Linked DNA regions of Coturnix japonica. The protein of the gene in region 1 interacts with the protein of each later gene in a pairwise test. Links are inferred from orthologs where the notes say so. Each region holds a gene or a part of one and is shown in the gene's direction. Other genes may lie near its edges.

Region 1 (7,531 bases):
CCATGGACAAAAGGGCTGAAAGGTTAAGGAGCTCCAGGGGGCTGTGCAGCAGAGCTGGGGGGCAGGCGCCCACCACAACCAACACTATAAAAGCAAAGAGGGGAAGGGCTCTCAGAGGCTACAGATCTTGCCTCACCTGCCATAAACCCCCAAATAAAGAGAAGATGCTGGGGCTCCCAGCGTGGCCCTGCTCGCTTTTCCTCCTCTTAGTTCTGCTCTCTGCCAGCGTACAAGCGATGTCCTCATCGGGACAAAGGCTCCAGGTAGGAGGGAATGGGATGGAGCTGCGGGAGGCTTTGGGAGTGGCAGGGGCAGTTTGGGGAGGTCGTGTTTGAACATGGTGTGAGGTGACCCAACATCCCAGCTCCCAAGGGCTGCTCCCTCCCCTTCAGTCCAACAGCCTCAGCTCTAGGCTGTGTCTATACAAGCCAGCTCCTTGAGGAGTGCTAGCATTTCAAGGTAGGGGCCAGGCAACAGACTTCTGAGTGCTCCTGGCTGTGGGTCTCTTCAATGCGTGCAGAGGCACCCTGCCTTCATATCAGCTCCTCTGTCCAAGAAGAAAGCTGCAAGGCAGGAGCTAGGATGTGAACTAGAAACGCAGGACTGATTCCGCTATGACTCATCATGGAGACACTTTCACTCTTCACTGAAGATGCCCATGTCTGCTTCCATTAACTGACTGCTGGAGAAGATGGAGCTAAATTGCACAAAGGCATCCATGTGATGCACAGGCATGGAGTAGCCACCACAGGCCGCCGCCATGGGCAGCAGCATTGTGCCCCCAGGGCACCTCCTGACCCATCTCCCTGCCGCTGGAGGATGCTGGCGGCTATGGAGGCATGTAATTAAATTAGAGCATGCCTGCCTGCACACAAACTATGGAGACTTCCCAGCAGATGAAGGGCCCGCCTTCCTTAGGCCCATTCTGATAGTTGACTGCTTTATGCTAACAGTTCCTCTGTGAAAAAAAGAAACACGACAAAACACCGTGAGCACACAGCAGCACTCAGCTGCACCAAAAGGACTAAGGGCCGATGACTGTTATTTTCCAGGTATGGAGAGAACTATTCAATAGCAGAAGGGCAAGGAATAGAGACAGCAATGCCCACAGCACTCCTTCCTGTTCTTTGGGCAGCAAAATCACCTCAGGCAGAGTAGCTGCGGGCCATCGGTGTCCTTGGTGTGGATGCAAGGTCACAGGCAGAGGGCTTTCACAGGCACCATTTCACGTCCTGCCCGAGCCTGAGGGACGAAGAGTGGGACAGTGGGTCGGGATATAAGAGCACAGACATTACACCCTCGCCCATCTCCATTTATCCCTCTCTCAGGTGCTCCTTTCCCGCCTGCTGCCCTCGGATTCCGAATCCCTGCCGGCTGATGAGGACATGAAGGAGGGCTCCAGCTCCAGCTCCGAGCCGCAGCCGCTCCTCCTGCCTCGGGCCCGAGCCGCACAGCCCCTGCTGTGGCGCAAGGCCCTCGCCGATCGCAAGCGAGCTCTGTCTGGAGACTGGGCCTGGAAGGCCGCGCCCCGGGGCTGTTTTGGGCTGAAAATGGACCGCATCGGGGCCTTCAGCGGGTTGGGCTGTTAGCCCGGAGAAGCTGGAGGTGAAGGGGGCAGCAGCGAGGGGCCGGCACAGCGGGCAGCGGCTCGCTCGTTGGCAGGCAGAGAGCGGCCGTGTGGAGAGCCGGCCCGGGACGAGACCCAGCTCGGGACGGGACAGGCTGGGGCAGCAGCGGCCGCAGCCCCGCGGGCAGGGCGAGGAGCGGCGGCGCGCGGGGGACTCGCGAATTAAACCGAGCTGTGCGGAGCCTCGTGTCGGAGCTGGCGGCACCGAAGGGCGGCCGGGCCGCGATACCCTCCCCGTGCCTCTCCCCGCCCGCGTCCGCCGGGAGATGGCGGCAGAGCCCGCGGCTCCGCACGGCAACGCGGCCCCCACGCGCGGGGCCATTTTGGGCGCCGCCGCCATTCCGGGTGGGCCGGGCCGCACGCGCGTCCGCGGCCTGGGCCCGAGCCCGGCGCTGGGGGGAGGATGGGCGGCGGGTCCATCGATCTGCGCCCCGGGGCCGCAGCGTTGTTCCGTCCCGCCACACTCTGCCCCTCGGCCGCTGCCGTGTTTGCCGAGCAAACAAGGGGCCTCCGCTCTCCCTGCCGGCCCTGACCCCGCGACGTGCGGGGGGCTCCCCCGGCCCCGCGATCGCAGCCCCCTTCGGGCCGCACCGCCGCCTCCCCTGGCCTTTAAGAAAAGGTCGTAACCTCAAGCCGGGGCTAAACTTAGCCGCTGCCCCTCGGTGCTCCGGGAATGGCAGCCGTACAAGGAGCGTTGGGTTACGGGAGCTGCGTGACCCCCCGCTCGGACCCTCTCCCCCCGGCATCCTCCGTCCCCACCGCTGGAGCCGGGGCCCACCTCACCCCTGCACGCCCCCTCCTCCCGCCGGGCATCCGGCTTCGAGCACCCGCTCCATCGCAGGGGATGGAGGCTATAAACCCAGCACGGCTCCATCCCACGGCCCCTCTTTGGGCCGCACGAGCCCCAGCCGTAACACGTAAGAACCGCTTCTTGCCCACACCCCGGGCCCGGCTGCCAGGCGCAGACGTGCCGGGCTGGGAGAGGGACGGCGGCGGCTCGAGGCGGCGGGAGGATATGAGGATATCCGCTGTCACGGCGCAAGAGATGCTGCAGTTCCTTATTAGCGCGGCCTGAGAGCGCCGGTGTGACAGCGGGTGCGGGACCCCGGCAGCCCGGGGCTGCGTGACCAACACGTGCGAGGGCTGATTATGGCAGCGGGCAGGCTGCGGGCTCGCAGCACGGCGCTCTCTCGGCCGTGCGTGCTGCCATTAATGCAGCCCGCACCCGCCGCACCGCATCGTGCTGCAGCCGCACCCCGCAGCCTCACCCGAGGACACCGACGCGGGGCTTTGTCTGCACCCCCCATCCGAAGGGCACCCCCACTCCGTACAAGCCCCGCAGTGCGGCCCCAACCCCCCGAGCCCACCCTCGACCCAACGGCCGCCCTTTGTTGCGAGGGGGGAGGGGGAGAGAAGCGGGGGGGGGGCTGCCGCTTCACCCGCACCGTGCGTGCACGTAGCCCCGGCCCGGCCCTCGCGCTGCCATTCGGTGCCGGCCCGGCGGGGCGGGGCGCGGGGTGCTGCCGCCGTGTCTATAAAGGGCGGCGGAGCGGCACTGCGCCACCTTCTCACTGCGCGCCGGGGCCGTTGACTAGGAGCAGGTAACGGGCGGGGGGCACGGGGGCGGAGGAACGGCTCCCCCCACCCCTACCCACCCACCCACCCAGCCGGCCGCCCTCCCGTCTGCTTGAGCCCCTCGTAGGGTCGGGGCCGTCGGACCGCGAGGAGTGCGGCGGGGGGAGGGGGCTGTGCAGGACCGCGTGGTGCCCGGGGCACAAAGGCGGGGGCGGGCGGCGTAAGATGGAGGCGGTGGGGGTGGGGGGAGAGGTGCGGGGGGCACAGCTCGGTGGGGATGGAGGGAGGGAGGGATGGCGGGTGGGGGGGCGGCTCCCGGTGCGTGCGGTGGGGGGGTGTTATGGGGCGGGCGGGCTGCGTGCGGTACCGCACGTCTGAGCGTTGGCGTGTCCCCGCAGGTACACTATAAGGGAGAGATGGTGAAAGTCGGAGTCAACGGGTGAGTGAGTGCGGAGCCGGGACGGGAGGCGCCGGGCGGGGCGGGCGGGGATGTACGTGCCCGTGGGGGGGGGGAGGACGACACGAGACAAGGTCGCCTGAAGGGCGGGGGGCCCCGCGGCGCCGCGGAGAGACCCCCCCATCCTCCAACCCCCAACCGGGAGTAACGGCCCCGTGGGGCGGTGCTGAGTCACTTCCCCGCACGGTCGGGGTGAGTCACCCCGGAAGCGCCGGTGCTGCCCGCGTGCCCCGTCGGGGGCTCTGCCCGCACTAATGGGGCTCCCCGGGGCAGTGGGTACCCGAGGAAAGGTCGCCCGGTGGATCGTGTGTCGGCCGTGCCCCGGGAACGTGACCTTCTCCCACCGCACCGAGGAGTAACCGGATCCCCGGGGCCCTCAGTAAATTTAGCGCCTGACCTTTGTGGTGTGGGTGCCCTGCCCGGGGGTCGCTCTTAATCTTTAACCACGGCTCCTCGGCCTTTGGCCGCTGCTGTTGGATTCCATTCAGGCAGCGACTGACAGATGCTCTGGGGGGAAGTAGCAGATAGGCTCAGCCGTGCCTTACCAAGCATGTTCCTCAGTGCTCCTCCTCACCCACCTCTCTGTTTCTCCCCAGATTTGGCCGTATTGGCCGCCTGGTCACCAGGGCTGCTGTCCTTTCTGGCAAAGTCCAAGTGGTTGCTATCAATGATCCCTTCATCGATCTGAACTACATGGTGAGTTGTCTTGCAGTGCCCCCTCTGGGCGATGCGTGCACCTTCAGCGGGGCTCCCCTTGGAAACCTGGCATAGGTTAAGAGAGAAATGAGATGTAGTGATGCAAAGCTGGGCAGAGCAAAATACAGAGCAGCAGTTAGACAAGATGGCTGGTATTGTAGTGGGAGCTTTGCATCTAGGATGCCTGACCCTTCTCTTTTCTCTCCCTGCTAGGTTTACATGTTCAAATATGATTCTACACACGGACACTTCAAGGGCACTGTCAAGGCTGAGAACGGGAAACTTGTGATCAATGGGAACGCCATCACTATCTTCCAGGAGTGAGTAGCTTTCTTCTCTCGCTGCTCCAGAGAATGAAAGTAAGTGCCCTCCAGAGTAACTCCCATGGTTTTGTCCCCTCTCAGGCGTGACCCCAGCAACATCAAGTGGGGAGATGCTGGTGCTGAGTATGTTGTGGAGTCCACTGGTGTCTTCACCACCATGGAGAAGGCTGGGGTATGTAGGCTGCTGTGGCCCATGGGAAAAGGTGCTCTGAGGATTGTATTCCTTCTCAACTGTTGGGCCGTTCTGGGTAATTTAATCTTTCCTTTTTTGTTTTTCAGGCTCATCTGAAGGGTGGTGCTAAGCGTGTTATTATCTCAGCCCCCTCAGCTGATGCTCCCATGTTCGTGATGGGTGTCAACCATGAGAAATATGATAAGTCCCTGAAAATTGTTAGGTAAGGGAGAAGAATGCTCCCTGGCCTGGAATTTTCTTCGGGTCTTGTTGCACGTATATACATGTGTTGTACTTGGCTGATGTGCCTTCTTTCTCCCCCAGCAATGCTTCATGCACCACCAACTGTCTGGCACCATTGGCCAAGGTCATCCATGACAACTTTGGCATTGTGGAGGGTCTTATGGTAGGTCTGGAGCTTGATGCTCAGTAAGATACCCTGCCCCCAGGTCCTCCATGTGTGGGGGAAAAAAGCATTCACACACAGTGCTTCCATTGGGCTTGGGAGGAAGTGCTGGGGGTGCTTTCTCTGGGGAAAGTGACTGCTTTCTTACTTCTGGGCCTTCTTTCCACAGACCACTGTGCACGCCATCACAGCCACACAGAAGACTGTGGACGGCCCCTCTGGGAAGTTGTGGAGGGATGGCAGAGGTGCTGCCCAGAACATCATCCCAGCATCCACTGGGGCTGCTAAGGCTGTGGGGAAGGTCATCCCTGAGCTCAATGGGTGAGCGTCCTCTTTCTGTGTCTGATGGGGGGCAGGAGCCAGTGTGTGGCTGGCTCAAACACTTTTGTGGTAGAACATGCTTACACTGTTCTTTGCTGACATATCTCTTGCAGGAAGCTTACTGGAATGGCTTTCCGTGTGCCAACCCCCAATGTCTCTGTTGTTGACCTGACCTGCCGTCTGGAGAAACCAGTAAGTGCTGTGGACAAGACTGAAGAATCTTCAGGCCTGCCTCTAAAATTACTTCCTTCAACATCAATCTATTTAATAGAAAAATCTTGGTTTTGCTGAAAATAGCACCTAATGTGCATGGCTAGTGCTATGCAGTTCCCAGTGTCTGGGCTGTAGCTGACACTTAGAGATGAGATTTGACCTGACCATCTTTACTTCTGCCTTTTTTTAGGCCAAATATGATGACATCAAGAGGGTAGTGAAGGCTGCTGCTGAGGGGCCCTTGAAGGGCATCCTAGGATACACAGAGGACCAGGTAAATAGTTGCTACGTAGGTGTCACTTGCCTCATTGTTCTGATGGTGGCAGCCTTGCTGGGGTGATGTTTTTGACGCTTCTGGTTCAGGCTGTTACCATCTTATTGGGTGGAAGAGTGCTTGACGGTTCTTCCTCTGTTCCAGGTTGTCTCCTGTGACTTCAATGGTGACAGCCATTCTTCCACCTTTGATGCGGGTGCTGGCATTGCACTGAATGACAACTTCGTCAAGCTTGTTTCCTGGTATGCTCAGCCTCGGGGTGTGGGGGAGACTGGGAGGGTAGAGACGAGCAGTTCTGGTGCAGTTCTGTGCTGTTTCATTTTGTCAGCACCATCTGGCAGTGCATGGCAGCACAGGGTTCAGGTGGCTTCAGCATGTGACGGTCTCTAGTGAGATGGCTTCGTATCTGAAATGGCTGCAGCTGCCTTCCTGTAATGGAGGGCAGATGGGATGCTGCCTGTTTGCTTCATAAGGATTGGATGGGAAGCCTTGCCACTTGGTTATATGGGCTGAGGCTGGAAGAGCAGTAACATGAAGAGGGATACGAGGAGCTGGATCAGTGCTGACTGCACTTGTGTTTCCCTTCTCAGGTATGACAACGAGTTTGGATACAGCAACCGTGTTGTGGACTTGATGGTCCACATGGCATCCAAGGAGTGAGCCAGGCACAGGCACACAGCCCCCCTGCTGCCTAGGGAAGCAGGACCCTTTGTTGGAGCCCCCGCTCTTCACCACCACTCAGTTCTGCATCCTGCTGTGAGAGGCCAGTTCTGTTCCCTTCTGTCTCCCCCACTCCTCCTCCAAATTCTTCCTCAGCCTGGGGGAGGTGGGAGAGGCTGATAGAAACTGATCTGTATGTGTACCACCTTACATCAATAAAAGTGTTCACCATCTGAAGCGCTTTGTTTGCGTGTCATTGGGAAGCAAAAAAGAATTGAATGTATGCTTTAAGGTAGCCCAGCCAGCCTGTAACTGCTGGGCCAGCAGCTCCAGCCAGTGCAGGGCTGCTGTGCATGGAGCTATGCTGTGCCTGCCAGCAAGGGAAGGACTCTTGCCCTTAAGCGAAAAGGTGTGGAGGGCTTTGAGTGGAAGATGTGCTGTGTGGTGGAATGGTGAGCAGATGTTCTTCATCCACCTTCCAGCTCTCTGGATTTTCCTGTTTGATGGGTGTGTGCAGAATAAAGTGCTGAGGATGACTTGCGTTTTCACTTGTTAAAAGGGCATGAAAGCCAGGAGTTTTTCAATTCCTTCTTCCTTACTAGAGATGCAACAAAGTGAACTGAAAATAAATCTGCCTGGAAGAAATGGCTGCCCCAGGCCCTGTGTTGGAAGCTAGAATTAAGCACAGTGGCAGCTCCTGAGCAGCAAATCTCTGCAAGTATCAGCCCTCTGCCAGGAGCTGCATTACCTCCCCCTAAAAGCACGGAGCTACCCTGGCTGCTGAGTGGTAGGGTAGATAAGCAGTTC
Region 2 (7,014 bases), on another chromosome or scaffold:
TATGAGACTCAGTAATACTAACAGCTCAGGGGCTTGTGTCTCCGTGCCAGATAATTCTTTTGCAGCATGTAAAATGGCTTCAGTGAGATCACTTAAAGACTGAGCTGAGGGAATGAGGTTCATGAAGTTTTGTATTTGAAAGGCAGTGCTCTGCAGGGAACTGGGATTCTGAAGTGCTGCATCTGCACACTGAGCAAAAGTGCTGTACAGAACGTGTCTGCAAAGGACTGGACTTAGGATTGATGGCCAGAAGTAAACTTCTCTTGGCCTCATGCACACTCTTACTCTTTTTCAATAGACTGAAATGCTCAGGGGAACCAGCCTGGCTGCACTGGTTTAAGAGTTTGTGAGCCTGTAGTTGTTAATATGAACTGTAGATCAAAATCACGAGTCTTTTGTTTGTAAATAAAACAAGGCTTCTTTGTTTGCAAGGCTGAAGAGTAGTTATGGAGAGTGTTGGTCTCTTAGAGACTAATCAAACTCTGCTTGGAAATAAGGTTTGAGGTCTTACATTCCTTTGTGAATTTGAACAAGAGTCTCATCATCAGAATTTAGGAAGAAAGACTTAATAGCTCATCCACCTATTGGAACAAAGGCTTAGTGTGGATACAGCTAAAACTCTAGGCAGCTGGCTCGCTTCTAGCCTGTAATGAGCTGTTCCTGGTCAAAGATAACTGTGTCCTTAGGAAACTAACATGCCTTAAAGAATGTGCTTAGTAGTTTCATCTGGATACCTGACTACCCAGGTGATAAGCTTAAAATGAGTTTTGCTCTTAAGCCTTGCTGCCAGATCAAATGCTGATATACTGCCCCATTGATAATTAAACTGATATGATGCTTTGCACCTGGAAGTAAGATGTATTCAAACTATTCAGCTATCTAAACTGCGCTGTTAATTCTTTTCCAGATTAAATCAAGATGTCTTCAGGAAAGGCTTTCATTGGAAAACCAGCCCCTGAGTTTACTGCCACAGCAGTAATGCCAGATGGGCAATTCAAGGATATCAAGCTCTCTGACTATAGAGGTGGGCTTATGTACATCTAATTATGCAAATGCAGTCTCCCCTTGTGCAGGGGATGGGAGGTGGGGAGGGGGAGCATCTAATGAAGCCTTTGGTTTGGTTTCCAAGTAACAGTGACCACTTGACTGTAGTTAATTTACAGTGATTTTGTTCATTGCCAACTGGAATGTGTTTGGGAAGCTGTTGACAGCATGACTGAATGTCCTAATTATGATGATTGTTGGTTATTAGCATGAAATTCCTCTAAAATAGAACAACTAAGTTTTATCCTAGATTCAGGCATTTTGAGTCTGATATAACAGCTTCAAAACAGGTGAAACTACAAGATCTTGTTTATTTGTTGGTGGAAAGTAGAATTCCCTCTAACTAAAGAAGCTTCTTTCTGCTGAAGTACTAGAAAACTATTGTGTCACTCCTTGCAGGCTTGGTACTGCTGTAGAACCTAATGTAAGAGATTAACTGGTGACATTGCTCTTCTAGGGAAATACGTTGTGTTCTTCTTCTACCCTCTGGATTTCACTTTTGTTTGTCCAACTGAAATCATCGCATACAGCGACAGAGCTGATGAATTCAGGAAAATTAACTGTGAAATAATTGGAGCTTCTGTTGATTCTCACTTCTGTCACCTTGCCTGGTAAGAATCAGCCTTTTAACATTAGACATTACTGTGCCTGGCCTCAGTTCTTACAGGAACTGGATTCTGAGTATTCAGACTTAAACTTAATTTACTTGTGTGTCAAATAAAGTCCTGTAGGAAGTACTGTCATTCCAGATGCTTCTGAACAGAATTGGGAGTACCGGGCAGTTCCTTTGTTACTTCCTGGCATGCTTTGTGCATCTGAAGTGCGCTTTGGATGAGCCTCTGTTGTACATTATGAACTGACCTTCTTTCTTAACACTTCTGCTCTTAGGATCAACACTCCTAAGAAACAAGGTGGTTTGGGCACTATGAAAATCCCACTGGTTTCTGACACAAGGCGTGACATTGCCAGAGACTATGGAGTACTTAAGGAGGATGAAGGTATTGCATACAGGTAATGAGCAATAGGGTAAGCCTGTTAATGTTATTGCATCATGCAACTTTAATGCAGAACTTGCATATACTTGAACATCTGCAGTGAACTGAAGTTCTCAGCTATTCAAGATGTAAGCTGCTTTAAGCTATCACACTTGTGCAAGGAGAGACGTTACTTGTTTAGACTTAGGGTTTTGGTAAGCTAGATAAATGTCTGCTGCTTTCCTTTGATAACAGCATTACTTAGAGCGTTACCTATCTACATGATGCAGGTGAGCTTATGCAAACATGGCTAATACAAGATCTGCATAGTCCTGAAAGTGATTAGAGGTATTTAGTGACTAAAGTACAGAGGAATTAAAAGCTGTGCCTTATCTTTTAGTCAGCTGAACAGTTGAAGTTGCTGAAGGAGCTGAACTTGTGCTAACTCTTCATGTGATTATAGAGAACTAACTGATGGGCAATTGGCCATAGCTGTATTTCTAAGAACTGCATAGTTGTTTTTTCCTTTTTTTCCTCATTTCTTTTGTTTTCCTTAAAGCAAAATAAACACAGGAAAGTAACACTTCATTTCATATTTATCTCCTGTCTCTCTTAGCTCCTGTTGAATGTATGATTGTTTTATTATGATGTTGTATTAGTGTAGGAACAGGGCTCTGCTTTTGGGAAAGGAAGAGGTCGATAATACTATACCATGCCATTAAGTTTTATGATTGAATATTGTTTCAGGCAAATCTGTCCAAATTTGTGTTTAACTTCAGATCTGTCTTTGTAGGGGCCTGTTCATAATTGATGAGAAGGGGATCTTGAGGCAGATAACAATTAATGATCTTCCTGTTGGCCGTTCTGTTGATGAGACCCTGAGGCTTGTGCAAGCCTTCCAGTTTACAGATAAACATGGAGAAGGTAAGGGATCACTCTGATTCTAAATGGGTCTCTAGAGAATAGTATTAACTAAGCAGGTTAGATAGGTTTGCTGAAAGTTACTAATTATGTATAGAATTGTGCTGGTTGTAACGAAGCTGTTTCTGTAAAGATGTTTATTGAAGTGCACCACAACACCATACAACCTTATTCCAGTTAATGGTCCATCAAGTATTTGCTTGATGTTGAAATCACTTAAACCACGTGCTGGGCATCTTGGCAAGTACGTAGCAGTAGGTCCATCTTCAGTTGGACAACACTCTTCAATACCCTTCTTCAATTAGAAAATGTTCCAGTGTTGAGGAACGTCTTAGTTTTGCCTGCAGAGGCAAACATAACTTAGACTTGGCTCTCAGACTTGATAGGCTGGACACATTTGGTACTGATGATACATATACTAAGCAGTCTGTTGGAGCATTTAAGTTTTCTGAAAGCCTGCTGGTTTGTGTCCATGAGTACTGAGGCCAAGTGAAGAGGAAAATGGCAAGAGTTCTTGTGCCTGTAGTACAAGAGTGATAGAAAGGTGCTCGAGGCTGGATGCTTTTCCTAGAATAAAAAAGCACACTGCATATGAAAGCTTTGATGTGGTTTATGTAAAGCTAGAATTAACATAAAGGTGTTAGTAGTATTTAGCTGTTATTAGTTAATTGCAGGTGTTGCTATTGCTCATGCATAATGTGCTTCAGAGCTGGTAGATCTGTGTTGCACTTTATTAAAACCAGTTGCTATTGGTTTTTGTGCTGTAGCCCAAAGAGCGTAAATGTTTCTTAACTTAGATGCCATTTTCTATTTCAACTGAGGAGGCATCCTTAATATATGTTGATGGGGGCAGTCACATGTTGCCTTTGTCACATGAAGCCCTTTGAAGTTTGCTGTGCCCTGGAGTAGTCAAAACCTGGCAGAAGCTCTTCTTCCAGAGCAAGGCTGAAGTCTAGGCTAGGCTAAGGTATATAGCAACAATCAGAAGCTGAGAGCTGAAGATAATACTGAATTGATTTATGTATGTTGCAAGAATTTTAATAGCTATGAGTTGTTACTAACATGCTTTAGTGTCTGTATAAAACGGAGTGGGAGTGGCTAGGAAGGCTTACATGTTCTTATTGTTTCAGTGTGCCCCGCTGGCTGGAAGCCCGGCAGTGATACAATCAAGCCTGATGTTCAGAAGAGCAAAGAGTATTTCTCCAAGCAGAAGTAAACTTTCATTCTGAGTGGAAACTAGTATGCCTTACATAAAGAGCAAGTACCAGTTACTGAACTTTGACTAATTCATTGCATTTGAGTCAAGGGATCATGCTAGAGGTATAAGCAGTAACTTTTTTTTTTTTTTACTTGAAGGAAAGTTAGTCCTGTTGACAGTAACTTTATAGAAAACCTTAATGATCAATATCTGTACATCGTGGCCTGTTGACTTTAGTGATGATGCAGTATATGTGGTTAGCCATGCGTTGCATATAGAATAATGGTATCCTTTTGTAACTATTAAACTTGTGGAAAGAGCACACTGTGTCCTGGTCTTGTGTAGTCAAGAGCTTGGTGAGCTATGCAGGCTGTGCTTCTGCTTCACTGACAAGTACTGACAAAGTGAATTCACTAGAGAATACACAAGTGATCTCTGTAGAGCGAACTGTACTCCTTCATAGCATATGTGGGTTATGGTGAAATCCTCTGTTTCAGTAAGACAACTTCTAGATAGCAGTGAAAAATCATGGTCTTGCTGCTCAGTCTGTCTGTTGAACTGCTTGTAGGCAGCCAAATTCCCAGAGGCCTTCTGCAGCTCCATTAGAATGAGATCCCAACACTCACTTCTGTGTTTGTATTGTAAAGTTCTTAGCAGAAGAAAAAAATGGAATGTAGTGGAATGCATTTTGACCTGGATCTGTCAGGGTTAAGAAGTACTGCAGAGCAGAGTGTGAAGCCCAGTTGTGGCTGACAGAGACCAGGCATGTCTTTGTGTACAGTATGAATTTATTTTGGTCAAAATGGATTGCATAGGCCAAAGCTCTGGGAATCCAAACATGCAGTTTGAAGACACCAGAGGAGTGGAATATTGGGCTTCCTGGAAATAACTTTCTTTTTGTATATGGTGTGGCTTCTTTGGATGCACAACATGGAGCTGGGAGTCCTGGGAGGAGTAAGAACATGCCAATTGATCATATGACTGCAAGGTACTGGAGAAGATCAAAAGGGTGACACTATGAACTAGGATACCTGGATTGGCTCAGCCTCACCTTTTATCTTTGTACTATGCATGAGTTTTATAATATGCACATAAGGCCATAGTTGTATGCCTTGATCAACTTAAACTTAATTACAGCTGTATTGGCCATGTGGCTTCATGTGTAAAGGAGCTACTGCTTTGCAGTGCAAGCGAGTTGGAGCCTTGTGATAGATCTTTACAGGTATGTAAACAACTCTCAAATACTAAGATGTAGAAATGAGTTCTATTTGCTGAAGTGAACAGCAACAAAGTTAAGACCCAGGGCTACTTCAAAGGAGTCAGGTGCTGAATATGAAGTTTTCCCCTGTTAAAAGGGCAATGGGGGAGGTCAGAGCTAGTCTGGTGTCAGCCTTCAATTGCACTGGGCTCTGCTCACTTTGAAGTAGGAGGGGATTGGTAACAGCAGTCCTCGGGAGGGCTCTGTGTGTTTCAGTCTATTGGAATGCGTTTTGTTTTCCCTTCACTTAACTAAAATCACTTCCCCTGCAGCCCGGAGCGCTCCGGGGCCGCCCCCCTCCCTGAGGCGGTGTTGTTGTTCCCGCCCTGCCGGGAGGCGCCATTTCCCCACAGCCGGGTGTGTGTGGGAAGGCCCGATAAAAACCCTGCTGCCTTCGCTCTGCTAACGGCTGCAGCTTGTTGTGCTTGTACTGCACTGTGTTTGTGCCAAATAACCGGTTAAACATGGGAATGAATGCAGTGCGTTGATACAATTGGAGTACATCGCCTCGTCCAACAGATCAATACAGGTCTAAGAACATAAGCAGGTAGGTTATGTGCCACAGATATTGTGAAACGGTGCACTTTGGTTGTAAAAGAATATGTGCAGACCTCAGCAATTGCACTCTACATCAAAAGGGTGGTTGCATAAAGCATGGATTTTATTCATAGTTTGAAAAATGTACTCTGAAAGTTGTTACACTGATGTTCAGTAGTGACAGCCTGCATAAGTTCTGAGTGACTTGGACATATTGAGCTATAGAGGGCTTACAAGAGAAACTTCGTGATTCAGCTTTGCAAAGGGAACAATAAGGGGCTATGTGAAGCTGTAGGGTGGGGTGGGCAGACAGCTCTGCTCAGTATGTGCTGTAATGGACGCGCCCTTGCAGCACACAGGGCAGCTATAGAGCTGGGTGGAAGCGCTGCATTGCTGGCAGCTCCTACAGGAGCCATGGGCTGAGGTAAGTTCATCCCACCACACCTAGCGATGATGGCTTTGGACTTCAATGTGAAACTTGGCTCCTTGAGCTGAAACTTAAATCTCTGCAATTGCTCTCCTGAACGTGACTCTTGAGTTCATGATGTTTCTTTGTAAGATACTCGCTGGCTGTATATATCTACATGATATTCTTCTGTCAGCACAGGTTGAGGAGTTACAGCTGGCTCCGTGCTGCAGTAAATAGCAACACCCACTTCCTCTTCAAGAACAGCTTTGAACCACTGCACCTGCGAGCAGAGTTAACTCTTTATATGCATGTTTTGCTTGGAACTGAACCAATAGTTCAGTTGGTGCACCAATAGCCATGTTGGGGCTGACCAGTTGCTGCCTGTAGTTTAGACAGCAGCATCAGAAAGTAGCTGTGCAACACAGTGCTTAGTGAGTCAATCCAGAGTGCTTATTCTTACACTGAGATAAGAGTAATTGCTTTAACTGGTAGGGGAAAAAACAGGCCCTGAAGTGTTTTCCTGTTTCAGAGGAATGATCACCGTGTCTGCTTGTCACCAGATTAGACAGTGCTTTGCATTTAATCACATTGTCACAGGATTAATCTTAATAAAAATCGCATCTTTTTCTTTATCTTGGACTTCATCGTTAACCTCAAAGTGTCACTGATGGAG

Evidence for each region.
Region 2: the proteins of GAPDH (region 1) and PRDX1 interact in a two-hybrid assay, tested with the Homo sapiens proteins (2 studies listed by BioGRID and IntAct, with this or other methods). The link is inferred for Coturnix japonica from reciprocal best matches to the Homo sapiens genes GAPDH and PRDX1.

Annotation. Positions count from the first base shown.
Region 1 is NC_029516.1:69,302,208-69,309,738, forward strand, and holds GAPDH (glyceraldehyde-3-phosphate dehydrogenase), read left to right. Parts: upstream 1-3,104; 5' UTR 3,105-3,228; intron 3,229-3,600; 5' UTR 3,601-3,618; coding exon 3,619-3,641; intron 3,642-4,255; coding exon 4,256-4,355; intron 4,356-4,568; coding exon 4,569-4,675; intron 4,676-4,759; coding exon 4,760-4,850; intron 4,851-4,957; coding exon 4,958-5,073; intron 5,074-5,174; coding exon 5,175-5,256; intron 5,257-5,425; coding exon 5,426-5,577; intron 5,578-5,690; coding exon 5,691-5,769; intron 5,770-5,980; coding exon 5,981-6,064; intron 6,065-6,208; coding exon 6,209-6,306; intron 6,307-6,654; coding exon 6,655-6,724; 3' UTR 6,725-6,961; downstream 6,962-7,531. Other genes in the region: C-type natriuretic peptide 2-like, read left to right, coding at 1,035-1,052, 1,329-1,589. UniProt on the Homo sapiens protein: Has both glyceraldehyde-3-phosphate dehydrogenase and nitrosylase activities, thereby playing a role in glycolysis and nuclear functions, respectively.
Region 2 is NC_029523.1:18,747,579-18,754,592, reverse strand, and holds the end of PRDX1 (peroxiredoxin-1), read left to right. Parts: intron 1-907; 5' UTR 908-918; coding exon 919-1,024; intron 1,025-1,501; coding exon 1,502-1,655; intron 1,656-1,932; coding exon 1,933-2,055; intron 2,056-2,811; coding exon 2,812-2,942; intron 2,943-4,069; coding exon 4,070-4,155; 3' UTR 4,156-4,459; downstream 4,460-7,014. UniProt on the Homo sapiens protein: Thiol-specific peroxidase that catalyzes the reduction of hydrogen peroxide and organic hydroperoxides to water and alcohols, respectively.